Linked DNA regions of Macaca fascicularis. The protein of the gene in region 1 interacts with the protein of each later gene in a biochemical or structural test. Links are inferred from orthologs where the notes say so. Each region holds a gene or a part of one and is shown in the gene's direction. Other genes may lie near its edges. The genes, in order: HIF1A, SP1, FHL2, NAA10, KPNA6, USP20 and RACK1.

The links.
Region 2: the proteins of HIF1A (region 1) and SP1 form a complex in vitro, tested with the Homo sapiens proteins (2 studies listed by BioGRID). The link is inferred for Macaca fascicularis from reciprocal best matches to the Homo sapiens genes HIF1A and SP1.
Region 3: the proteins of HIF1A (region 1) and FHL2 form a complex in vitro, tested with the Homo sapiens proteins (2 studies listed by BioGRID). The link is inferred for Macaca fascicularis from reciprocal best matches to the Homo sapiens genes HIF1A and FHL2.
Region 4: the proteins of HIF1A (region 1) and NAA10 form a complex in vitro, tested with the Homo sapiens proteins (4 studies listed by BioGRID and IntAct, with this or other methods). The link is inferred for Macaca fascicularis from reciprocal best matches to the Homo sapiens genes HIF1A and NAA10.
Region 5: the proteins of HIF1A (region 1) and KPNA6 form a complex in vitro, tested with the Homo sapiens proteins (2 studies listed by BioGRID). The link is inferred for Macaca fascicularis from reciprocal best matches to the Homo sapiens genes HIF1A and KPNA6.
Region 6: of the proteins of HIF1A (region 1) and USP20, one has a biochemical effect on the other in vitro, tested with the Homo sapiens proteins (2 studies listed by BioGRID and IntAct, with this or other methods). The link is inferred for Macaca fascicularis from reciprocal best matches to the Homo sapiens genes HIF1A and USP20.
Region 7: the proteins of HIF1A (region 1) and RACK1 form a complex in vitro, tested with the Homo sapiens proteins (2 studies listed by BioGRID). The link is inferred for Macaca fascicularis from reciprocal best matches to the Homo sapiens genes HIF1A and RACK1.

The regions. Positions count from the first base shown.
Region 1 is NC_088381.1:129,533,476-129,537,552, forward strand, and holds the start of HIF1A (hypoxia-inducible factor 1-alpha), read left to right. Parts: upstream 1-1,277; 5' UTR 1,278-1,573; coding exon 1,574-1,608; intron 1,609-4,077.
Region 2 is NC_088385.1:60,181,008-60,185,070, forward strand, and holds the start of SP1 (transcription factor Sp1), read left to right. Parts: upstream 1-1,263; 5' UTR 1,264-1,365; coding exon 1,366-1,372; intron 1,373-1,623; exon of another isoform or gene 1,624-1,742; intron 1,743-1,876; exon of another isoform or gene 1,877-1,907; intron 1,908-2,711; coding exon 2,712-2,869; intron 2,870-3,164; coding exon 3,165-4,063. UniProt on the Homo sapiens protein: Transcription factor that can activate or repress transcription in response to physiological and pathological stimuli.
Region 3 is NC_088387.1:9,827,076-9,831,137, reverse strand, and holds the start of FHL2 (four and a half LIM domains protein 2), read left to right. Parts: upstream 1-1,262; 5' UTR 1,263-1,564; coding exon 1,565-1,819; intron 1,820-3,939; coding exon 3,940-3,990; intron 3,991-4,062. UniProt on the Homo sapiens protein: May function as a molecular transmitter linking various signaling pathways to transcriptional regulation. Negatively regulates the transcriptional repressor E4F1 and may function in cell growth.
Region 4 is NC_088395.1:159,995,627-159,998,263, reverse strand, and holds the end of NAA10 (N-alpha-acetyltransferase 10), read left to right. Parts: intron 1-1,209; coding exon 1,210-1,294; intron 1,295-1,834; coding exon 1,835-2,071; 3' UTR 2,072-2,137; downstream 2,138-2,637. UniProt on the Homo sapiens protein: Catalytic subunit of N-terminal acetyltransferase complexes which display alpha (N-terminal) acetyltransferase activity. Acetylates amino termini that are devoid of initiator methionine.
Region 5 is NC_088375.1:202,872,079-202,875,578, reverse strand, and holds part of KPNA6 (importin subunit alpha-7), read left to right. Parts: coding exon 1-90; intron 91-494; coding exon 495-594; intron 595-1,731; coding exon 1,732-1,826; intron 1,827-2,882; coding exon 2,883-3,014; intron 3,015-3,500. UniProt on the Homo sapiens protein: Functions in nuclear protein import as an adapter protein for nuclear receptor KPNB1. Binds specifically and directly to substrates containing either a simple or bipartite NLS motif.
Region 6 is NC_088389.1:14,041,855-14,045,354, reverse strand, and holds part of USP20 (ubiquitin carboxyl-terminal hydrolase 20), read left to right. Parts: intron 1-418; coding exon 419-532; intron 533-2,546; coding exon 2,547-2,625; intron 2,626-3,500.
Region 7 is NC_088380.1:188,333,219-188,337,162, reverse strand, and holds the end of RACK1 (small ribosomal subunit protein RACK1), read left to right. Parts: intron 1-830; coding exon 831-926; intron 927-1,253; coding exon 1,254-1,364; intron 1,365-2,156; coding exon 2,157-2,297; intron 2,298-2,393; coding exon 2,394-2,435; intron 2,436-2,663; coding exon 2,664-2,774; intron 2,775-3,334; coding exon 3,335-3,400; 3' UTR 3,401-3,444; downstream 3,445-3,944. UniProt on the Homo sapiens protein: Scaffolding protein involved in the recruitment, assembly and/or regulation of a variety of signaling molecules. Interacts with a wide variety of proteins and plays a role in many cellular processes.

The DNA.
Region 1 (4,077 bases):
AGTAGCTGGAACCACGGTGTCCGCTAAGGTCAATGTTGAATCGTATCTTTGTAGGTCTACTGACCAGTTAGAAAGAGGTGCTGTATACATTGGTTGTTGTCTTATCAGAGTTTGATGCTTTTATATAGACCATTGTTTTTACATGCTAATACAATTGAAAGCCACTACAGATATTTATATTTACAACCCAAAGCTAGGTTTTAACAAGAAACTCGTAACGCAAAGGTGAGAAGTAAAATAATTTAGCGCCAAGTAGAGATATATGTGCAATGCTCCTTTATTGGGCTCAAAATATATTCTTTTGTTTTATAAGACTGACAGGCTTGAAGACACTTTTATATCCATTATGCCTCCAAAGACAAAAATGATTACGTTTTATTTAGTAGCTTGCAAAGTTGCCAAAGACCATTTTTTCTACTCTTTCCCCGAAATTGGTTTATATGCTTATTAAAGTCATTTATACCTATTTGTGAATGCTTAACATAGTTTCAGATTTTAAGATTTCCCTGCAACTTTATTTCCCTTGAAGTTTACAGCAAGAGGAGTTAATTTTTATTTTTAATTGCATTTATTCAGTAATTAAACTCCGCCACAGAAAAACTTAGTGGACAAGGTGAGTTCCCCTGTGTCCCATGGCAAAGGTGCAGTGGGTGACATTGACCCATGGTTAGGTAACCTGGCAAGGAAAGACCCCGTTGTAACACCTCTGAGCAACGAGACCAAAGAAGGGCTTGCAGCCACGAGGCGAAGTCCGCTTTTTTGAACAGAGAGCTCAGCAGAGTTGGGCGGCAGTCACGCTCAGCACTGCGGCCGAAGAGAAAGAGAGCGGCAGCATTACATTGCTGCACGAAGAGTAGGAAAATATGATGCAGGTTTGGGACCAGGCAACCGAAATCCCTTCTCAGCAGCGCCTCCCAAAGCCGGGCACCGCCTTCCTTAGGGGAAGGCGCAGAGTCCCCAAACCCGCGCTGAGCCGCGCCCCCAGCTCCTTTCTCTTTCCTCCGCGGCTAAACACAGACTACCACGTGAGCGCCGCAGCACGTCCCAGCTGTGCCTCAGCTGACCGCCTCCTGATTGGCTGAGAGCGACGTGGGCTGGCCGCCTGCGTGGCTCGCCATTGGCTCTCGAGGAACCCGCCTCCACCTCAGGTGAGGCGGGCCTGCGGGAGCGCGCGCCGGCCTGGGCAGGCGGGCGGGCGCGCTCCCGCCCCCTCCCCTCCCTGCGCGCCCAAGCGCGCCTCCGCCCTTGCCCGCCCCCTGACGCTGCCTCAGCTCCTCAGTGCACAGTGCTGCCTCGTCTGAGGGGACAAGAGGATCACCCTCGCCGTCGCTTCGGCCAGTGCGTCGGGCTGGGCCCTGACAAGCCACCTGAGGAGAGGTTCGGAGCCGGGCCCGGACCCCGGCGATTGCCGCCCGCTTCTCCTGCTTCTGGTCTCACGAGGTGTTTCCCGCCTCGCACCCCCACCTCTGGACTTGCCTTGCCTTCTCTCTCCGCGTGTGGAGGGAGCCAGCGCTTAGGCCGGAGCGAGCCTGGGGGCCGCCCGGCGTGAAGGCATCGCGGGGACCGATTCACCATGGAGGGCGCCGGCGGCGCGAACGACAAGAAAAAGTAAGCCCATTCCCTCGGCCGGCCGCCGGCGCCCCCGCCCGCCGTCCCGCCCTGGGCTCCCGGGCCGGCCTCGGCGCTCCTGGTGGTGGGGGGGCAGCCTTTTTGTTTCTGCGGCTTCTCCCCTCCCCTCTCTTTCCCCCAACCTCGCCGGCCGGGCTCCCCCGCTGTCCACGTCGCCATCTTGTCGTGGGGGGTGGGAGACGCCTCGAAAGTGCTTTCAGGGGCCGGGATCTGAGCCCTGCTTGCCCTCCCCGCCGGCCGTGGGGGCCTCGCGCCGCCCACCTACCCGCCTCAGAAACCCAGCCTGCTCTGTGGCCGCATCCAGAGGGGACTTTACCCAGCCCGAAAACCCCGGGAAGAGAAATGAGCTGCAGCTCGGTAGCCGCGGTTTGCACCCGGAGCTTCCGCTCCTTCCCGCCCCCATCCTCTCCGGTTCCATTGAAAACTCGGCCCTGGGGCGGACCCTGCACGCTGGTCCTGGCTTCCTAGTGGGCTTGGGGCCCTGAGTTCCCGACTGAGGGACTCGCGTGGTCGGATGCGATCTTGTCCTGTAGTTGTCCAGCCGTCGCGGGTGTCTTTGCCTTTGTGCATCCTAGGGATTTGCCGCGATGGCCTTAAGATGCGAACTTTTTAGTTTGCACGTGCAGGTTTTGTTTCGTTTTAAGCGCCTTAAAAAACTTGCCTAGACTGAGAGTCAGAGTAATGGGAATTTAGAGAAATAGCAACATTTTAAAGAGAACTTTAGAATTGGATACTTGAGTTCATATCACCTGTCACGAGAACGCAGATATTATAAATGAATACATGCCTCACTCATTCTTCAAATAATGAAAATGTAGGGGCTGGTTAAATGTAGGCAGACAGTTTTAATGATACTGAAAAAATTATATGATGAGTGAACGAAATGCGGCACTAAAATGTTGCAAAAATTTTCGAACTCTTTCGTTTTCCTGAAACTGAAGTATATTAAAGGAAAACCTTCAACATATATCCAAAGTAAGTTAATCACTCGGTTAGAACTTAATGCAAGTTTTATAAATCACCTTGAAGTTTGAGCCTAAGGGGTACATTAGAGATTAAGAATTGTGAGTTGAACCACTGGTATTAAGAGCGGACTCCCCCATCCCCCAACACACACACAATTTTGTCCACTTTGGTATTTTAACTTTTAAGGAAATCATTTAAGGAATTGAAGATTTAGAGTAAGAGTTTTGGTTAGTAGACTGGCTTTGCTCTTAAATCCTTCCACTCTTCTGGCAGAGAGATTAATTTCCCTAATCAGTATCAGCAGAAGATAAACTTGTTTATATTCTTGCTGTTTTGTAGATCCCTTCTCCTGGTCCTTCTTCAATAGAATATTAAATTCTTAGTTTGTGTACACCAGAGAAGGCACTTACAAAATTCAAAAAGTGAGCAAACAGGTTTAAATTCATTCCAAGAGTTACCAGAAATTAATTGCAGTTTATTTTGCGGAGGTGATTACAGTGCTTTTGATGAAATGATAAAGCGGCAGATTACCTCTGTGTAGTGCCAGTTTTCTATCCTTATATATATTGAATCATACTTAATACAATGTATTAAATTATGCACCAATCAATTCCTTTTTATATACAGTATCGAACTCATTTCTTTGCCATTCATCAGTTCAGAATATCAGAAGCAGTTTTGAAATGAATGAATGAATAAATTAGCTGCTGTTCATCAGCCCCAATTCTAAATGAGTTCTTAGATTTTCCTCAGCTCATCTGTTACTTTCAAAATTTTCTCATTTGAAAACTTAGCAACCTTGGGTTGGATGGATTCATTTCTTAATATAGAAGTTCTTGATATAACTGAAAAGTTAAACACTTAATAAGTGGTGGTTACTCAGCATTTTTAGATGCTGTTTATAATAGATGACCTTTTCTAACTAATTTACAGTTTTTTGAAAGATAACTGAGAGTTTGAGGGATGGGGATTTTCTTCATGCAATTTTTTTTTTTTCATTTTAAATGAGCTCCCAATGTCAGAGTTTGGGAAACAAATTTGTCTTTAAAAGAAGGTCTAGGAAACTCAACCTGAAGAATTGGAAGAAATCAGAATAGAAAATGGGTATAGCTATGATATTTTAGATTTAAGATAGGACATTTCATGTTGCCTCCTAGTTATAGGGACTGAACTTACTTAATAGCACATGTGTTTTGATTTTTAGATTTTTAAGGGAATGTCAAGAGAGTAATGATTCTGTTTCAGGCTTCAGGCCAGACTCCTTCAAAGTTTTCCAAAACAAATAATTACTGAATCATTAAAGTAAAATTGCTGAGAATAGATATTCCTTAATTTCCTTTCATTAACTTTGGCCATTAAAAGTCAAGAAGCTCTCTCATTTATTAGCAAACTTTTCTCGTTATATTTCTATTTTGATTGTCCTTTTGTTTGAGGAAGCAGTATATAGTGGTTAAGAGCATAGGATGTGGAGGCAGATACCTC
Region 2 (4,063 bases), on another chromosome or scaffold:
AATCCAGGTGCCTGCAGTAAAGTTTAACCTTCGTGATTGCAAAAAGCAGGAGCTCAACTATCTTGCTTTATGCATAGGCGGTATTTACTATTAACTCCGAAAAATGGAAGTGACTTATCCGCACTTTAGCCTCAAAGCTTGAAAAGTTAACCAGTCGTAAGTGGTTAGCGCCTTTGTCTGGCGGAACTTAACAAAATGGCGTTTTCTGGAATCTTACGGAGACTCTGCATATTGGTCAGCTCAGTATTAACTTATTTGGTGAGCGCTGTCCCCAAATCCCGTTCCGGCTGCACTCGCAGGGCTTGCAGCGACATTGAGGTATCTGCCCGCCTGTCCGCCCACCCGGGAAACGGGTAAGATTTGAGAGGTACTTTATAGGGGCAGTTAAATGAAGACTCAAACAAATCCTAGTGTTGATGCGGAACTGCGCGCCGAATGCCTTGGCTCTGACACCTGTTGAGCTGCAAGACTCCACTAAAGCGTCCCACCTAATGACTGTAACAACGTCCCCTGAGGTGGGCCAATATGGCGACGGTCTCCTCTTGGCACAGCCCTCTTCCCTCCCTCATGATGGGCGGCTCCGGTAACGCCCATTGGCCAACTAGGAGGCGGTGCCAGGCTTACTTCGTTCCCTCATTGGATTGAATAACTGAGGGAGCCGCCAATTCTCCTCTGCCACTCCAAGTTTCCGCCCTCAGAGTTAATCTGGCGTTTAATTGGCTTTTAATTCACGTCAATATGCGTCCTTTCCTGTCTTTTTTCAGTCTTAATCCAATCATAACTTTCCTGGCTGCCCGCCTGATTTCTGATTGGTTTTAATCAGCTTCAGCCTATCCTATTCCTGTCTACTTCTTACCTCTCCTCCCACTAGGATTTTGCCCAAGCATATCCCGGATTCTAGTTGGCCGTTGTTCTGTCATTCCTATCAAAGCTTTCCCTATCCCAATGTCTCAGGGAGCCCGCCTGCCGGTTGACTGGTTTCCTTCCAAGCCAATAATCCCCAGCTCCCGCCCATCTTCACTTCCTGCATCCTTCATTGGCTTTTAACACTGAGAGGGCTGTCTTTTTGGGCGGACACCAGGCACGCAACTTAGTCTTACACGCCTTAGAGAGCAAGCGAGTCTTGCCATTGGAAAACCTCACCGTCTTTCTTCTGCAAGTCCCACCTTTCCCCCTCCCTCATTGGGCGGGGCAGCAGAGAAGGGGCGGGGCATAGGTTGGGCTGGTGGCGCGCTGCTCCCTCCTCCTCACCCCCCCCTCCCTGTCCGGTCCGGGTTCGCTTGCCTCGTCAGCGTCCGCGTTTTTCCCGGCCCCCCCCAACCCCCCCGGACAGGACCCCCTTGAGCTTGTCCCTCAGCTGCCACCATGAGCGGTAAGGATGAGTCCACTCCAGGCTTAGGGGTGGGAGGCGAGTGAGGGGGCGCGCGCGAGGGCCGACCGGGCGATCCCCGCCGTGAGGGGGGGCGGGCGGGAGGCGGCGGCGGCGGCCTAGGTCCCGCCCGGGGCGGAGGGAAGGGAGGGAGACGGGGCAGTGGCTGGGCCTCCGAGGAGGAGGGGGATGGGCCGCCCGCCCCGGGGGAGGGGGCAGCGTGGCCTCGCCCGCCCCCTGCCCGCCCCGGCCACGGGGGACGGGCCTTACCCCCCACTACTCGGCCGCCCGCCTGAGGCTCCTCCCGCCGGGGGCTGGAGCCGCGGGGGCGGCCCGAGCAGTGAAGGCCCCGCCCGGGCCAACCGCTTGTCTGGTCCGTCCTCTGGTCGCCGCCTGCTCCGGCGCCCTCCTCCCCCCACTTTCCGTAGATTTCCCTTCCCCCCGCCCCACCGTCCCGCCCTTTCCACGCCCCTCACCCCGAAACCGCCCTTTCCCTCAGGGCCCGCCCTCCGCCCCGAAACCTCCTGACTACTAACCAGTACACCCCTTTAGTTCCTTAGTAGTATTCACAAATGTTTTCCTACTAAAACTTTTTATTTCTTTTTCCCTTCTCCTCTTGTTACTTTTAATACTTGGGTTTTTGTTTATCTCTCTCTTTTTTTTTGAGAGGGAGTTTCGCTCTTGTCGCCCAGGCTGGAGTGCAATGGTGCGATCTCGGCTCACTGCTACCTCCCGGATTCAAGCGATTCTCCTGCCTCAGCCTCCGGGAGTAGCTGGGATTACAGGCATGCGCCACCACACACGGCTAATTTTGTATTTTTAGTGGGGACGGGGTTTCTCCTTGTTGGTCAGGCTGGTCTCAAACTCCTGACCCCAGGTGATCCTCCTGCCTCAGCGTCTCAAAGTACTGGGATTACAGGCATGACCACCGCGCCTGGCCTCTCCATCTCTTTTAACCTTAATTTTAGCAAGCTTTCCATCCGCCCACATATTGTTTTTTGCCTTACTTGTCCTTTTTTCCCTTAGGATACTTTTTCTTATTTTGAAACTCTTTCAGCATGACTACCATCCTTCACATTTCCTATCCCCAAAGCACTTTTTGAATGTTTTCTTAGTTAATTTTGTGTAAGGGAGAATTGAGGCCCACTTTTGGCACCATTGAGCCTAGTTCATGTCCTGCATGCCCTGCAGCTCCCCTCTGCCCTCCAATCCATTTTCTTTATACTGGCGCCTTTCGCCTTCCTGTTAGTCATTGCTATTTCATCATAGCCTCCTTTTATCCTTCCTACTTCATCTCTTTTCTTCCCTCAAGTTTAAGTTGTTTGTTTTTTAATTGTTTTAGACCAAGATCACTCCATGGATGAAATGACAGCTGTGGTGAAGATTGAAAAAGGAGTTGGTGGCAATAATGGGGGCAGTGGTAATGGTGGTGGTGCCTTTTCACAGGCTCGAAGTAGCAGCACAGGCAGTAGCAGCAGCAGTGGAGGAGGAGGAGGGCAGGTAAGTGATAATAATAGAGTGGGGAAGATGTTGAGAGGATGTAAATATTCTTAGATAATTGCCTTACTCTTCATAGAAAGCTTTTTAGGGAGCTTATCAAAACCATTTTATAGATAAGAAGTAAGAGTATGGAGATCCCCAAAGACAGGAGTTTCAGCAATACAGATAGGTCAGCTTTTTGTTTCTGTTTTTTGCTCCTTGTCTGCACTACGTTGCTGTTTATTTGTTGTATACTGCCCCCTAGGCTGGCAGCTGGGTGTCACTAACTCCTTTCCTCTCCCTTATTTTTGGCCAGGAGTCCCAGCCATCCCCTTTGGCTCTGCTGGCAGCAACTTGCAGCAGAATTGAGTCACCCAATGAGAACAGCAACAACTCCCAGGGCCCGAGTCAGTCAGGGGGAACAGGTGAGCTTGACCTCACAGCCACACAACTTTCACAGGGTGCCAATGGCTGGCAGATCATCTCTTCCTCCTCTGGGGCTACCCCTACCTCAAAGGAACAGAGTGGCAGCAGTACCAATGGCAGCAATGGCAGTGAGTCTTCCAAGAATCGCACAGTCTCTGGTGGGCAGTATGTTGTGGCTGCCACTCCCAACTTACAGAACCAGCAAGTTCTGACAGGACTACCTGGAGTGATGCCTAATATTCAGTATCAAGTAATCCCACAGTTCCAGACCGTTGATGGGCAACAGCTGCAGTTTGCTGCCACTGGGGCCCAAGTGCAGCAGGATGGTTCTGGTCAAATACAGATCATACCAGGTGCAAACCAACAGATTATCACAAATCGAGGAAGTGGAGGCAACATCATTGCTGCTATGCCAAATCTACTCCAGCAGGCTGTCCCCCTCCAAGGCCTGGCTAATAATGTACTCTCAGGACAGACTCAGTATGTGACCAATGTACCAGTGGCCCTGAATGGGAACATCACCTTGCTACCTGTCAACAGCGTTTCTGCAGCTACCTTGACTCCCAGCTCTCAGGCAGTCACCATCAGCAGCTCTGGGTCCCAGGAGAGTGGCTCACAGCCTGTCACCTCAGGGACTACCATCAGTTCTGCCAGCTTGGTGTCATCACAAGCCAGTTCCAGCTCCTTTTTTACCAATGCCAATAGCTACTCAACTACTACTACCACCAGCAACATGGGAATTATGAACTTTACTACCAGTGGATCATCAGGGACCAACTCTCAAGGCCA
Region 3 (4,062 bases), on another chromosome or scaffold:
ATCAGAAAGAAGATAAATGCAGAATTAATGTTTCATCATTTTAGGACTTGTTTTTACAAACTGCAGCTTAAGGCTCACCATTTGAGAACTAGGAGACCATTTCCTAATATGTAACGATAGCGACAACACAGCTAGGTAGCTGTCAGGGGCTGGGAGCCTTTTCTACACAAACTTTGCTCTGAATTTCAAAATACTAGCCTGCCTTGACACTTAGTGGAAATTCAGGGAGGGTGGCCTTAACTCAGGTTCTTCAGGGAAGTGTCCCGTTTCAGGGACACCGTGGGGTGGGGTTAGGGGACGGCTGTATTCCGCACATCTAGTTCTGGCTGGGCTTATGGCAAGTCTCAGTCCTCTGGAGTCACCTGAGTGACTGAGGGATGAGAGGCATTTCTGATCCCGTAATATACTTACATGGTTTTGCCATCTACCGGACTCCAGTTCAAATCTCAGCTGGCACAGTTACCTTTCACGTGGCCTTGAGCAAATCTCTCTGAGCTGAACTTTCCTCACCATAAATCTGGTAAAAATCTTTACCTTAAGGAAGTGTGGATCAAATGAGATACCAGGTGGAGCTAGTGCTCACAGAGTGGAAGCTAAGGTGATGAAACCCTTGATTCTCAAGTTCTGTGATTCCATGATGGAGATCCATGAGGGCTACCAGATGGGGAGTATCAACTAAAAGAAAGCAATCACGGAGTTCTTCCTGCCTTCTCTGGAGGATGTATTCCTATGAGCTGCCCTGAATGTTAAAAATAATACACCTGCCCCCAAAGTGCCTAGGACGCCTTTGTTGTCCACCTGCTCATCGTCCAGCGGTTTCTGCAAGTGGACCAGTTACCTGCTCAGGAGCAAACGTTTCTATCACGATGCACCCTCTCCCAGGGATGGGCTCAGCCTGTGCTCTCCCTGCTACAATGTTGAACAGTGCCATCTGTCCCTACCCAGCGTCAGCCTCACTCAGAGGGCACAGGCTTGGAGTGTGGGAGGCACGCTCCCAGCTCACTTTGCTTTTCCCGCCCTGGAGGGGAATCCAGGATGTCTAACTGGTCTTCTGGCCCCGAGAGGGAGAGGTGGGGATAGGACCTTCCTTTAGTCCCCTCCCTAGTGGAACGAACGATTCTTTACGGTCATCTGTGGGGTTCTTTTCGTAAAGAAGCATCTGCAGGGTAAGAAGGAAAAAAATCCACCGTGCAAATACATCCCAGGCACATGCCTCCTGAGAAGTGGCCCCCTCCTCCCTCCGCCGTCCCCGGCACCTCCTCGGGCTTCGCCAGCTTCCTGCTCCTGGGAGCAGGCAGAGATCCCGGCGTGGGCAGACCCCTGCCACTGGCGTCCAGGCCCCGTCCGAAACTCACGCCCACGTCGGAGGAGACTCTCGGGATAACCACGGTGCTCCCAAGACCCGGAGGGCAAGAAGAAAGAGCCCTGGCAAACAAAGGGCATGGGCCGGGAGCGCCGCAGCCCGGGGCGGGGGCACGGCGACCGCTAGGCCAGGGGGCGCCCGCCCCCAGCGCCCCACGCCCGGTGCCAGCGAGCCGAGGCGTGCATCTCCTTATATGGTCAAATGACACGGAGGGGGTTCTCGAGGGCGGGAGCCGCGCAGCGCTCCACTCGGCCGGCAGCGGAGCAGCAGCCACCAGCCGCCCGCGCCCGCCCGCGCCGTCCGGGAGTCCCCGGGCCGCTGCGGCGCCGTGAGTACCTCCAGCTCCCTGCGCCCCGGAGGGAGGCCGAGGGGCTTAGCCACCAGGACTCGGAAGAGGGGGCCGAATCCGGTGCGAGACCCGGGGAGAGGGGAGCAGATCCGGAGTTGGGGAGACCGGTGAGTGGAGAGGAGAGCTGTGGGTCGGAGAAGACCACTGGGAGAGGGGAGCCGAACCGTGCGGAGAGAAGCCGGGAGAAAGGAAATGAGCTGTAGGGTAGACCCGGGAGAGGGGAGCAGATCCCTGGGGGCTGGGAGTGGGGAGACCACGGGAAGAGGGGAGCGGAGCAATGAGAGGGGGCTAGACCCTGGGGGCGCTGGAGCTCAGAGGAGCCCACGGACCCATCCCCAGAGGGGGATTACAGCCCAAGTCCTCACCAGGTGGGGCACCGCCATGCGGGCAGGGGCTTGGCTAGCCTGGGTAAAGGCTGGCCGCGGGTCCCAGCCGGCGGCTGCGGGGAGGTGACGCTGTCCCCTTGCTTCAAGGCCCGACTCCGGAGCCGGTTGTCCTGGCACGGTGGTCTGCGCAGGGGTGTCCGGGCTATTTCCCTTTGGTAGAAATAAGTGGAGCTTGCAGTGTGACCTCACTCCTTGACTCGTGTAGACATTTAATAACTGAACCATTCGGTTAAAAAAAAAAAAGGCGTATTTTAAATGAAAAAGATTCTAAGTTTTTCTTAAGTTGCACTCGTGTGATATCTTAGCATACTAGAAATTGAGGGAAGAAAATACTGTTTTTCAGATTTTAAATGAATCAATCATATTTACTTTCATATCCCCAGTCAGGTTTTAATTGGAAGTAGGCTAACCCCGTTAGCTGAAATGTGTAGCTGGCCTCCAAGCAGCAGTGAACTTAGACAGCACTGAACTTAAGGCCCGCACTCCCTTCCACATATTTTGGAAGGTAATAAATCACAATTTGGGCTTAGAATCAGGAGAACTGTCTTCAAAACACAACTCCAAATACATCTCACATTTTTGGTGCTGACTCTACTAACGAATGTTTTATAATAATATATTAAAGAAAAGAGGTTTTGCACTATCCTGACGATGTTTTAGACAAAAAAAAAAAAAAAATTGCAGCAAGTCTTAGAAGTACAGGAATTCCTAGTCTATCAATTTAATTTTAATAAAATCAAACTCAAAGAACATTTCATTGTGCATTTATATAAAATTTTTTCAAGTGTTACTGGATTTAGATCACCCTCCAATTTAGAAGATCATCAATTGATACATAGAATTGTGTTTTCATGGTGTTTATTAGCCTGCCATGGTTTAAAATGCGTTTACACCATCATATGTCGATGAAGGCTAATGATGGGCTTACTAAAGACCAGAAACTGTTCTGGGCACATAGATTCTGTCTCATTTTAGCTCACGGTCTCACAAATAACCACAGGCAGATGCGGTAGGCTAGAGGATGCGGGGGACTGCATCTAGGCTGCCTGAATTTACATCCGGGTCCCTCAACCTGTGCAGCCTGGGCCAAATCACTTCATGTCGTGGTGTCTCGGTTTCCTTCACTGGGAAACAGTGACAATGATGTTGTCTCTTTGGCAGGGTTGTTAAAAAGTCTGGACATCATAGACAGTGTGTACCTATTTGACAGCCTCATTTTTACAGGTAAAGACACTGAAAACAGAGATCAAAGTAACTTTAACTCAGGGTTTCCCAGGCTGTAAATGGTAGCCCTGAGATCTGACCCCAGGCAGCTTAACTTGAGAACCTGAGTTCTAACCGTAAACACACCACGGGAGGAACATTTGAATATTTATTTATTTTTTAACATTTGAATATTTCTACGAGACCTTATGCTGCATTCTTTGACCCAAGATTGCGTGTTAAGCCACTTCCAGTACTGAAAGATATTTAAATTGCAGTCAAAAACACCCAGTAGAATATTGCACACACACACATACAAATCAGACTAGATATCAGTTTACTCCCGTCCTGTGCTGAGGGCCAGTTATTCAGCCTCTGTGACTCAGGCAGCTTCCTTTGTCAGCACCGGGGCCTGAGTTGGTAAAGTTGGTAAGCGGCTCTCTGACTCAGATGCCCCGAGGTAAAAAGTTCCTTGAGCCTGGGTGAATGGAAATGTCAGACGTTGGGTTCTTCTGTGCGGTTTTATTATGAGAATTTGATCAAAGCCACATTTATTAAGTGTCCATCTCAGGTTGCGTCATACTGAAGCCGCTTCCTCAAGATGACCATCTGAAACGAAATGCAAGTGCTTTCTCTAGGGGCTGAGAACTGTGTCTTCCTGGAGACTAGGCTGGCATTTTGACTTTGGCGTGAGTCAAATGAATTTCCTCTGTCATCCTAAATTGTGGATTTCAGTTTTAGCTCCCATGATGATTACTTTC
Region 4 (2,637 bases), on another chromosome or scaffold:
CCCAGGTCTGGCCCACCAGGGCACCTGAGACCGGCTGAGTTGCCTTCCAGGCTAGGGGTGGGCCGGATGTGGGGAGGACGCTGTGGACCCCAGTGCTGCCAGGATGCCTCCACATTCACTCGGTGGCTGATGGTTGAAAAGCCGGCATGGAGACAGCACCTGCCTGCTGAAACGTGCTCCGTGTGTGTTGTGATGGAGGAGCTCTGGCCCATGCTGGCAGAGGCTGGTGAAGGGCACACGGGCTGTTTAGTAATGTTTGGGAATAAAGAGGTGTGGGTCCCTGGCGTGAGCAGATCATAGCATGGCCAAGCACCTGGAAGAATCCAAGAGAGAGCAGAATCAAGGAGAATGCACGTTCAGGAAGGAAGGACCGGCGGCCAGGCAGCCTAGTGGATGGGGCAGGTCTGCCTGAGGACCGGGAGGCCCCGTGTGCCTAGCACAGGAGAGAGGACCTGGCAGTCAGCATGCCCAGTAGACAGTGGAAAAAAGTGCTTGCAAGTGAAGCTGGGGTGGGCTGCCCGTGGAGGGACACTAACTGCAGTCAGCCCCTGTTTGGTAGGGGTGAAGAGGAGGGACTGTTGGGAAGGGCAGTGGCCTCTGGGCTGGATGCTGGCAAGAGGGATCTGTGACCCAGATGAGGATGTCTGGTGGGAACTGCTTTATAGCTAAGTCAACAATCCTCATGTCTTAGGCCTGGCAGGGCCAGCCTAGGCCATTGAGTCCAGCTCCCCTTCCAGGGACATGGCCACCCGAGTCTGCACACATGCCTCCCCAGTGCAGGCATGGCCCCTGAGCTGCTCAGGCAGGGCCCGTGCTGCCTAGGGATGACTCCCCTAAACAGAGCTCACTGTCTTTCCTGGGTTCTGATGGCTGTTGAGAGGCAGCTCAGTAAGGGACAGGACGCAGGGCAGGGAGGGAAGGGGAAGGCTGAATTCAGGAATTCAGCTCACAAGAAACCACAGAAATGAATCCTTAGTAGCCAGGCTAAGGACACAGAACGGGGGCAGGACAGGGGTGGGGCGGGCCGCTGTTTCCTGGAGCCTTTGCTGGAGAGAACAGAGGGCAGGTCACACCGGACTTGCTGTCTCAGAAAGGAGCCCTTCAGGGAGAAAACACGGCATCTTGCTCCAGTAGCCATGATACCAGGAGTGGAGGAGGGTGTCCCCCAGGTATGGGTCTTCCTCCTTGCTCTCTACCCTCTGCCCCCAGGATCAGTGAAGTGGAGCCCAAATACTATGCAGATGGGGAGGACGCCTATGCCATGAAGCGAGACCTCACTCAGATGGCCGACGAGGTAAGAGCCTGCATGAAGCCAAGCCAGGCAAGCGGGGGTGGCATTGGGGAGCCCCGAGACAGTGGCTGGAGGTGCGACCAACTTTGAATGCCAGCCCTTGTGGCTATGTTGCCAGGAGTCACGACCTCAGTTTCCTAGGTTGGGCTTTAGAGGAGGCCATCTGCCTAGCAGCCTGGAGGGTGATGGGAGAGGCAGAGGGAGGAGGCTTTTAGAAGGGAAGTGGGGAGGCCTGGGGACCAGTGGGTGGCCTGCCTGCTCAGAGGTAGTTCTGAGTCAGGGTTCTGCCCCAGGCTCCTTGGGTGGCAGGGCTGGTCAAGGGGCAACGCTGTGTCGTGGGGGCCTCCGTGGTAGTCAGTGAGCCCAGGTAGCAGTGGACTGGGGCTCCAGCCAGGTGTCCCCACTCAGTCCCACGTGTCCTGCCTAGCCCTGCTGCCTCACTATGCCCCTCTCCTCAGCCAGCGACAGGGCCAGGCTCCCTTTGTCTGGAAACTTAGGCCCCATCTCTTTACCTCCTGCTTCTCCCTGGGTTCCTGGTGGCAGCTGAGGCGGCACCTGGAGCTGAAGGAGAAGGGCAGGCATGTGGTGCTGGGTGCCATCGAGAACAAGGTGGAGAGCAAAGGCAATTCACCTCCGAGCTCAGGAGAGGCCTGTCGCGAGGAGAAGGGCCTGGCTGCCGAGGATAGTGGTGGGGACAGCAAGGACCTCAGCGAGGTCAGCGAGACCACAGAGAGCACAGATGTCAAGGACAGCTCAGAGGCTTCCGACTCGGCCTCTTAGAGCCTGCCCCATCCCTTCCTCACCCCACGAGCTTTCACAATAAATTCGCTCCGTGGCACTGGGGAACTTCGTGTGTGTGCGTGTGCACATTTAGAGGGTGTGTTTCTCCAGGTCCTCTGGTGGGGAGGTGAGCCTCAGCCTTTTGACCCAGAGCATCCTGCCAGTCCGAATAGAAGGGAAGAGCTTTGGAGGTGGGACTCCCCAGTCTCATGGCCTTCAGCAGCTGTGGCCCCGGGAAGGAGGCCCTGGGCTTAGGGAGAGACCCTGCCTTGGAGGTCTGCTTGGCCACGCTGAATGTGTTTTGTGGCATAAGCCTGGGCCGCTTAGGCTCAAAGCTCAACAGCAGGGCTCCCACTCTTGGTATCCTTCAGTTCTCCTCCCATCTTCACCTTCAGACCTTTTCTCTCCCTAATCACACCTGCTTTGGGCTACAGCAGCTCTGCGGCATAGCCGTGGGCTCCAGATGTGGACATCTGACTGCTCATTGGGCTTATCTACAGCTGTCCTGAGTATAATGACCCAGCCAGACGCCCTGTCAACGGTCCTTGAGTCCTCCCTTCCCTGCC
Region 5 (3,500 bases), on another chromosome or scaffold:
TTTAAACGGAGAAATGTGGAGCTGATTAATGAAGAAGCTGCCATGTTCGATAGTCTTCTCATGGACTCTTATGTGAGCTCTACCACTGGGGTAAGGCCCCTGCATGTGCCTCAGGCTGACCTGGAAAGTAACTGCTTCTAAGAACAGAAATTGGGCCATTCACATCATCTACTAGCTTTGTCAGTAACCATGACAAGTTCTTTCCTCTGTGGACCCTTTTGTCAGCTTCAGAAGTCAACAGAGATTCAACTGTGTTAGAAATATCTGAGGAAACATTTAAGGGAAGCCATCAGTTGCCTCAGAATTAGGAATCACTTTTCAAATGTCCCAACTTGAAGCACCTATCGATTAAACAGACCCCTTCTCCTGAGGCTGTCTATTGTGCCATCTTCTTGCCCTCAATTTTTTAGAAAACAGGATGTCAAGCAGAATTATGTGCTCACATCTGACTGTAATGTTGGTTTGCAAAGTTCTAAACTTGTTTTATGTTCTAGGAGAGTGTGATCACAAGAGAGATGGTGGAGATGCTCTTTTCTGATGATTCTGACCTGCAGTTAGCAACCACACAGAAATTCCGGAAACTGCTCTCCAAAGGTACAAAGCCTGGCCCTTCTCAGAGAGGCCCTGTATGATTTAGCCTCTGTTCTCTTCACTAATGTCATCAACTACACGTGCCCTCACTCGTTCTGTTCTAGCCCTACTGACCTTGGTGTTCCTTGTACGAGATAGACACTTTCCTGCCTTCACACTGGATATTTCCTCTGCCTGATGTCTTCTATTCCCAGATATCTGTGTAGCAACTCCCTTACTCCTATGATTAAATCCTAACTTCAACATTTTTATCTTTCTACCTTGCCCTACATATTCTTCTCTTCTCCTCCCATCATATTTATCTTCTAACATAATAAAATGACTCTTCCCACTAGGATGTAAGCTGAGGGCAGAGAGTTTTGTTTTTTTTCTCTCCTGTGTCCTTTGTACCTAGAACTGTGTGGCACACCATAGGTACTTAATAAAAATTTAATGTATGATAGGAAAAATACCTCTTGTTTCAGTTATCAAATAGTCTTCCCAAGAAGAGAATACTGGTCTTTCTCGAAAGGGAAATGTGTAGACCACGGTTGTTCATCCCTTAGGCACTCTTCTGTCCCACACCTTTTTTGCTTACATTTAGTAAGCCAAAGATGAGCATACTTAAATTAGGATTGGCTTTACTCTTTAACATTCCAACTGTATTATACAGTTCAAAGACGAGCAGATATTGTGTTTTTTTTTTGTTTGTTTGTTTGTTTTTGAGACAGAGTCTCGCTCTGTCGCCCAGGCTGGAGTGCTGTGGCCGGATCTCAGCTCACTGCAAGCTCCGCCTCCCGGGTTCACGCCATTCTCCTGCCTCAGCCTCCCGAGTAGCTGGGACTACAGGCGTCCGCCACATCGCCCGGCTAGTTTTTTGTATTTTTTAGTAGAGACGGGGTGTCACCGTGTTAGCCAGGATGGTCTCGATCTCCTGACCTCGTGATCCACCCGTCTCGGCCTCCCAAAGTGCTGGGATTACAGGCTTGAGCCACCGCGCCCGGCCGCAGATATTGTTAAAACCACCTTACCAGAAGGGAGTTTGGGAATGTTTGTAAGGGGGGTGGTCAGAAGTATCTAAGAAGGATTGCAAGCTGACCCCCATGAAGAGATCAGCAAAAGCTTCTCCTACATTTTTATTTTCCCTTCTCCCTTATCCAGAGCCTAGTCCTCCAATAGATGAAGTTATCAACACTCCAAGAGTGGTCGATCGGTTCGTGGAGTTTCTGAAGAGGAATGAGAATTGTACATTACAGGTGAGGCCTGAAGGGAAGGGGTTTGTTTTGTCTTGTTTTGTTTTTTAATTTTGGGGGGATACAGGGTAGGTGTATATATTTATGGGGTACATGAGATGTTTTGACACAGGCCTGTAATTTGAAATAAGCAAATCATGGAGAATGGGGTATCCATTTCCTCAAGCATTTATCCTTTAAGTTACAAACAATCCAATTATGCACTTTAAGTTATTTTAAATTGTGTAGTTATTATTGACTATAGTCACCCTATTGTGTTATCAAATAGTAGGTCTTATTAATTCTTTCTGGGTTTTATTGTACCCATTACTTATCCCCACCCCACCCCCATTCCCCCACTACTGGGAAGGGGTTATTAGGTGAAAGCCCTACTTCCAAGAAATTGTAGTGAGATGTTTCTATTGACGTATCTCTCGGGAAGTATACAAGTAATGTTAAGAAACATTCAGGAGAAACCATCAGTTCCCTCACAGCCAAAATATCTTTCTTAAAACAATTTCAAAGGAAAGACACAAGACTATGATAGACTGATCATTCATTTATAAATCAGAGGGTATAGTCCACTACCTGTGTCACCGAGGCAAGTCGTTTAGCCTCTCTGGGTCTCTTGTTTCAGAGATGGGTGATGGGTCAATCCATTGGAACTTGCCAGAACTCAGCTGAAAGGGACTTTGAGAGACACATTTCATTCTAATCCTCATTTCAGAAATGAAGAAAGTGAAGCTCAGGAAATAAAAAAGTGACCTGGCAAAGGATGCATGGGTTCTGTGGTAGTGCAGGACTAAACCTGGGACCCTAGAAGCCCAATGTCTTATTCCCATGTATATCACATCACTGCATCTTCCCACTCTCTAAAGACGGGAGGGGAAAGGCTTGTATTTTGTGTGTGTGTGTGTGTGTGTGTTTTAAATTCGTAGGCAAGAGGCTTGCTTGTGTTTTGTGAGGTTGTTTTTGTTTTTTTAAATTCATGGGCAGGAGGCTTACTGTTCTGGGCCAGCTGATAGGCATGGCTGCTCAGTCTGAAATGACCTTTCAATCATTGCTTAATCTCACTTTCAGTTTGAAGCTGCCTGGGCTCTAACGAATATTGCCTCTGGAACCTCTCAGCAGACCAAAATTGTCATTGAAGCAGGGGCTGTCCCCATTTTTATAGAGCTGCTTAATTCAGACTTTGAGGATGTTCAGGAACAGGTAATGCTTAGATTTGGTATGATTCTTTATAGTACCTGTGGTATAATAAAAAATGTATTTGGTCTTTGTCCTGGTTCTTGGCACAGTGTTAAAACTCTTGGAATTTCCTGAGCGATAGGAGTATCAAGTACAGATGGTCCCTGGGACTTGCAACTGGTATCTCAAGTCGGGGCAGTCTTGTGGAACTAACCTGTGAGGTCTACATTAACTCTAGGTGTTAGTGTCAGAATTGAATTAAATTGTTGGACACACGGTTGGTGTCAGAGAATGGGTGGTTGATGTGGAAAAAACTCTATACATTTGTTGTTGGAAGTGCCATTGGAAAAAAGACACAACAGTACCCATATCTCAGTACCCAGAGATCATGGAGATAAAGGTACAACTTCCATTTCTCCCACTGAATTCTTGCTAGTTGGATAGAATTGGAGAGTGGTAGTGGGCACTCTTCTCCATTACTACATATAGAGTTGGTCCAAGGCAACTACA
Region 6 (3,500 bases), on another chromosome or scaffold:
ACTTGGGAGGCTAAGGCAGGAGAAGCACTTGAACCCAGAAGGCAGAGGCTGCGGTGAACCAAGACTGCACCACTGCACTCCAGCCTGGGCAACAGAGTGAGACTCTGTTTCAAAATAATAAAAATAATAATAAAAGAAGATAAGATGAGATAAAATAAAATAAAATAAAAATACGCTGTCTCTAGATATGGTCACACTCTGAGGTACTGGGGATTAGGGCTTCACAGATGAATTTTGGAGGATACAATTTTCTCATAACTGGTAGGAGCCTTCTAGTCACCTTTAGGCGTTTCTGGGTCCAGGGTCACTGTGCTCCCTGCGCGAGCACTCAGGGCTCCCCGCTACGCAGCCCTTTCTAAACCGTGCCACCTGCCTCGTTTGCTTTCCTGACCTGGCTCTCTCTCTCCCTCGCACCCAGCCCACCGCTGACTCAGTTCTTCCTGGAGTGTGGAGGCCTGGTGCGCACAGACAAAAAGCCAGCCCTGTGCAAGAGCTACCAGAAGCTGGTCTCTGAGGTCTGGCACAAGAAACGGTGAGCAGCTGCATCCCTAGCCTCGGGCGGTGTGTGGGGACTGGGGTTTCCTGTCAGCACCCATGATTGAGCTCTTCCTATGGATTCAGCCCCCAGCGAGGACTTGCCTCATTTTGTCCCAGGTAATGCTTGTAGCAAGCCTGCAGGGTGGAAATTGCATCCAATCCTGTTTTACAAATAGGGAAACTGAGATGCAGAGAACTTTAAGTATCTTGCTCAAGGTCATAGAACCTGCAAAAGGTGAGCTAGAATTTGACCTGCTGTTGACCCTAGCCAGCAGCCACTGGGTAGATGTCTTTGCCAAGAGACATGGTGACCCGGCCTCAGCCACAGCTGAGGAGCGTGTGGAGGAGGTATGGGGCAGGGGGGCACAGACTGGATGGAGCTTCTGGCACAGTATGGAATGAATTTAAAGACCAGAGTCTGTGATTAGATCTATTTCTCCAGGAAAAGTCAAAGTTGGGAATAATTTAAAATGAGCACATAGAAATATGTATTATGTGTAGAAGCAGATGAAAAACCAGCGTAGGGCCAGGCGCAGTGGCTCACGCCTGTAATCCCAGCACTTTGAGAGGCTGAGGCAGGCAGATCACGAGGTCAAGAGATTGAGACCATCCTGGCCAACATGGTGAAACCCCGTGTCTAATAAAAATGCAAAAATTAGCTGGGCATGGTGGTACGCACCTGTAGTCCCAGCTACTCGGGAGGCTGAGGCAGGAGAATCACTTGAACCCAGGAGGCGGAGGTGGCAGTGAGCCAAGATTGCGCCACTGCAGTCCAACCTGGCGACAGAGCCAGACTCCGTCTCAAACAAAAACAAAAACAACAAAAAAAAAACCCAGCATGGGAGAAATATGTATTACGTGTAGAACCAGATTAAAAACCAGCGTGGGGCCAGACGCAGTCACTGACACCTGTAAATCCAGCACTTTGAGAGGCCAAGGCAAGAGAATCATTTGAGCCTGGGAGTTTGAGACCAGCCTGGACAACACAGCAAGACCCCGTCTCTACAAAAACTACAAAATTAGCCAAGCGTGGTGTTTGCACTTGTGGTCCCAGCTACTCAGGAGGCTGAGGTGGGAGGATTGCTTGAGCCCAGGAGGTTGAGGCAGGCTGCAGTGAGCCTTGATCATGCCATTGCACTTCAGCCTGGGCGACAGAGTGAGACCGTGTCTCAAAAAAAAAAAAAAAAAAAAGTCCGGGTGCAGTGGCTCACTCCTGTAATCCCAGCACTTTGGGAGGCCGAGGCGGGTGGATCACAAGGTCAGGAGTTCGAGACCAGCCTGGCCAATATGGTGAAACCCCATCTCTACTAAAAATACAAAAATTAGCTGGGCATGGTGGCGCACACCTGTAGTCCCCGCACTTTGGGAGGCTGAGACAGGAGAATCACTTGAACCCGGGAGGCGGAGGTTGCAGCGAACCAAGATCGCGCCACTGCACTCCAGCCTGGGAAACAGAGCAAGACTGTCTCAAAACAAAACAAAAAACAAAAACACAAGAAAACCAGCGTGGTACAGTATAATTCCGCTGTGTAAGAAGCCAAGTTTAAGTGTATATCTGTATGTATTTTTGTATATGCATCTGTAGTTTCACAGAAAAACCCAGAAATCTAATGGTAAGTATCTGGTGCCATTAGTGGTGGTGTTTTTCTCTTGTACTTTTCTGAAATTTTAGATTTGTCAATAATGAACATGTCTTTTGAAATGAGAAAACCACAGTAAGTGTTTCAGAACAAAAACAAATCATGTTTAGGCGAGTTTGTTGTGTGCCAGCAGGAAATGATGCCATTTTATTTGAGCTCTTTGCTTAATTGAGGCAGCTATGACTTGACATTTTCTTCTTGTCTATAGAGATGTGTGAGCCTCTTGGGGGTCCTGGCTGAGTAGGTCCCTCCCCATATGTCAGGAAATGCCTCACTCTGATCCAGCCTGACTGGCTGGCTGCCTGCTTCTCTCGGGAATGAGCAGCTCAAGGCAGACTACCTGGACTAATGGGTTTGGGCTTCCTACAGGCCAAGCTACGTGGTCCCCACCAGTCTGTCTCATGGGATCAAGTTGGTCAACCCAATGTTCCGAGGCTATGCCCAGCAGGTAAGCCATCTGAGCTGCCCAGGGGACACTCAAGGCCATGACCCACCAGGCCTGACTTTGACGCCAAAACCAGAGTGGAAAATCGCAATGGCAGCTGAGCACTGGTTGGCAGGTCTCAGGGACCAGGCTCTCATTCCTAAGCCCTTCACACATGTGAGGACAGTGGTGCCTCCCAGCAACCTGCTGACATTTAACCCCACTTCACAGATGGGCAGACTGAGGTTCAGGGGGCTGAGCCACTTGCACAGGCCACACAGCTAGTAAATGGTGGAGGGGAATTCTTTCTTTTAGCGAGGTGGGTACAGGGTCTCACTCTGTCATCCAGGCTAGAGTGCAGTGGGACAGTCATGGCTTACCGCAGCCGTGACCTCCCGGGCTCAAGCAGTCGTCCCACCTCAGGCTCCCAAAGTGCTGTGATGATAGGCATGAGCCACTGCACCCAGCAGAGGGGAGATTTGAACCTGGGCAACCTTGCTTCGGGGCCTGTGCTGTGCCCCTCTGCATTGCACTCAAAATGGCACAGGGTTTCACTTCCCCAAACCACAGGCGAAATTTCACTTTTACTAAAATAAAAATTTTGATTAAGAATTTTTATTTTTTAATCTAGAGAACCCCTTTGAAACCAACCACATTTTTCTATTTGATAAAATAATGAGACCAAGACAGAGTGCAGCCATGTGTACGCCTCAGCCCTGGGCTGATGGCTCCTGCCCTCCAGCCTCCTGCCCCAGATGGCCCCCGGCCTGGGCTTTCATGCCAGGCCTGCAGGCAGAGCTGGACCAGGCTGGGTCGCCTCTTGTGCTGCCTGAATGAGCGCCATGGATGGAGTGGCAGTCATGTAAGGACACCTTCCACCCTCCTTTACCTGCTGCCTG
Region 7 (3,944 bases), on another chromosome or scaffold:
CTCTGGTAGGCCAAGGTGGGAGGATTGCTTGAGGACAGGAGAGCAGCCTGGCCAACACAGTGAGACCCCATCCATAAAAATTTTTATTTATTTTGAGATGGAGTCTCACCCTGTTGCCCAGGCTGGAGTGCAGTGTGCGATCTTGGCCCACTGCAACCTCCGCCTCCCAGGTTCATGCCATTCTCTTGCCTCAGCTTCTCGAGTAGCTGGGACTACAGCATGCCCAGCTAATTTTTTTGTATTTTTAGTGGAGACGAGGATTCACCGTGTTAGCCAGGTGGTCTTGATCTCCTCACCTCGTGATCCGCCCACCTTGGCCTCCTAAAGTGCTGGGGTTACAGGCGTGAGCCACCGCACCTGGCCCTTTTTTGAGATAAAGTTTCACTCGTTCATTGCGCTGGCTGGAGTGCAATGGCACAATCGTGGCTCACTGTAAACTTCGCTTCCTGCGTTTAAGCAATGCTCCTGCCTGAGCCTTCCATGTAGCTGGGATTACAGGCACCCACCACCACACCCGGTGAATTTTTGTGTTTTTGGTAGAGACGGTTTCACCATGTTGGCCAAGCTGATGTCAAACTCCTGACCTCAGGTGATCCACTCACCTCGCCCTCCCCAAGTGCTGGGATTACAGGCGTGATCCACTGCGTCCAACCCCTGTCTCTAAATTTAAAAAGAAATTCTTATCTGGAATCTAAAGGGATTCTGTTGAGCTTAAAGGTTTGGGTTCTGGGTTTTTGAAAGGTGCTGCCAGCCATCATCTGGCTGGGGGGGGGGTCTAGCATTTCATGGGATAGGACTGTTTCCCCTTATTTCCTTTTCATCCTCTGTAGGATGAGAGCCACTCAGAGTGGGTGTCTTGTGTCCGCTTCTCGCCTAACAGCAGCAACCCTATCATCGTCTCCTGCGGCTGGGACAAGCTGGTCAAGGTGAGCTTCAAGCCAAGGCAGGGGCTTTACCAGTCAGGGTGTGCTGTGCTCCCAGGTGGTCATACGCTCCAACTCCTGTGGAAAGCTTTACAGATTCTCTCAGTTGACTCTTTCTCTTGTCACATGGTTTGAAGTAGCTAATTGATGTCCCTTGTAAGTGAGCACACTGCATTGGATGTGTGTTACAATCTAAGGTTAAGTGGCCAGGACATGTTACTGAATGATAAATGGCTACTGTAGCCAGGAATGCCAAGCCCTTTTTTGTTGGACCTGACCCTGGCTGATCCAGAGCCAGGATATTCACCTGTCAACTTCACATCTATGCAGGTATGGAACCTGGCTAACTGCAAGCTGAAGACCAACCACATTGGCCACACGGGCTATCTGAACACGGTGACTGTCTCTCCAGACGGATCCCTCTGTGCTTCTGGAGGCAAGGTATTTGGGGACCAGGAGTCTCCTGCTCAGTGGAAGACCAGCATCATGGAAGGAGCACTTAGCCAGCGTCTCTAACATAAAACGGCAAACATTAGTCAGGATGGTTTCAGGAGGATAATGAGATAATGGCAATCTGAGAATGTTTCCAAAGATTACTTTCAGCAAATGACAGTTAAGGCATACTGTCTGGAAGAAAACGATTATTTTCTATAAGGTTGGGTTTATTTTGAGACGGAGTCTCACTCAGCCGCCAAAGCTGGAGTGCAGTGGCATGATCTCAGCTCACCGCAACCATCTCCCTGGTTCAAGCAATTGTCCTGTCTCAGCCTCCCTAGTAGCTGGGATTATAGGCACCCACCATCATGCCTAGGTAATTTTTGTATTTTAGTAGAGACAGAGTTTCACCATGTTGGCCAGGCAGGGCTTGAACTCCTGACCTCAGGTGATCCACTGGCCTCAGCTTCCCAAAGTGCTGGGATTACAGGCGTAAGCCACAGTGCCCGGCCTAAAGTTGGTTCCTCGAAGCAATTGATGAGATTGAGATCCTGGTTTTCAGAAACGATTAGAGTGATTTATGTAAGTTGGGAGGGGTTTTTTGATAGGGTTGGTAAGGTCTTAACCTTAAAGGAAAGGCATACAGAGATCAATGTTGGTACTTGAGTCATTAGTTTTCAAAGAAGCCTGAGGTAATGGAGGAAAGGTAAGAATTGATTCTGACAGAATCTTGAGATGGGCAGGATTAACATCTGGAAGAAGTCACTGTGTCCTGATTTACCTTACCTGTCTGTCCAGGATGGCCAGGCCATGTTATGGGATCTCAACGAAGGCAAACACCTTTACACGCTAGATGGTGGGGACATCATCAACGCCCTGTGCTTCAGCCCTAACCGCTACTGGCTGTGTGCTGCCACAGGCCCCAGCATCAAGATCTGGGTGAGTGTGGGTTACAGTGGACTGGGTACCTGGCTGCCCTCTGAGCCTTGACAATGTTTTGGTTACAATATATGCCATCTGACTCCCACCTGGTAGCTAAGCCTATTCAACCTCCACATAATTGACATTTTGGTCTGGGTAACTCTGTTGTGATGTGCTGTCCTGTACATTTTAGGATGTGTAGCAGCATTTCCAGCTTCTAGATGTCGGTAGCAAACCATCCTTCCACTAGTGGCAACTAAAAATGCATCTAGGCGTTGATACATGTATCCTAGGAAGCAGAATCATCCCTTTATAACTTGAGAATCTTGAGGAGGGGACTCTGTCATTGCTAAGTCTTAAGGTTGCTTTTGCCCTGTTCCCCAGGATTTGGAGGGAAAGATCATTGTAGATGAACTGAAGCAAGAAGTTATCAGTACCAGCAGCAAGGCAGAACCACCGCAGTGTACCTCCCTGGCCTGGTCTGCCGATGGCCAGGTAAGTGGTCTGTGTCCTCTCAGGTGACTCGGCTTCCAATTATTTTTCTCCCTCATTCTGTTAGCACATTTAGTCTGTCAGACACAAGAGCAGTGTCTTTGGCATAAAGTGGAATGACAAGCCAGGTTGATGAGAGGATGCCCTAGTTTGCCATGCCAGTGAATGTGTTTCAGCATCAGAGGGAAGACTGATGTGGAGCCCAGTAGCTATCAGCCTTCAGTTAATACCTTAATTCATTTGACCTGTTTTCAAATGTCTAGATCCTTATCACCAGCTGTTTCTTCCTCAAGGAATACATAACCACAACTTAAAATCTGGCTGTTAAAATGGGAGGGGTTTCTTATAGTCTGCCCAGTATGGTGGCACATGCCTACTGGAGGCTGAGGTGGGAGGATCTCTTGAACTGCAGGGTCTCAAGGCTGCAGTGAGCCAGGATCATGCCCCTGCGCTCCAGCCTAGACAGTGGAGCAAGACCATCTCAAAGAAAGCCACTTGTGCTGAATCTAGTGACTGCAGAGTTTACGCCAGCCTGACCTATCCCTGTCATTTCTCCCCTGCAGACTCTGTTTGCTGGCTACACAGACAACCTGGTACGAGTATGGCAGGTGACCATCGGCACGCGCTAGAAGTTTATGGCAGAGCTTTACAAATTAAAGAAGAAAAAACTGGCTTTTCTGGCTTTTAGAAGGTTTTTTTTTCTTACATGCATAAAAGCTCCATCCTATCTACAATGCTTACACATTAAGTTTGCACTAGCAAACTGGATGCAAGCTGTGGACTAAGTAAACAAGGCCCTGAGGGGGAAGGAGAGCTGTCAGTCTAAGTTCTCAGGATTGGGGGAGCATCAAGTGGATGTTTGTTAGAAGTCACATAGCAGTTTCCCTGAACTTAAACCCCATCAGCGTCCTACATACCAGGTGCAGATCATCAGGACCTACCTTCAACCTGGGGAACCTTCTTGAGGGAAAGGACTGATTATTTCAAAGTGGTTGCAGTCAATTTTTAGGAAAAGCAGACTCCGCAGGTCCAACCGCTGGCACATAAGAACGGAACAAAGATGAATCCTCATTCCTCTGAAGGTTTGAACATAATTCAGAAAATTTAAACTTCATGTTAGCAGTCTACATGGTCTTTGAGGCAAGTCAAGGGTATTTAATTCTGCAAAGCAGT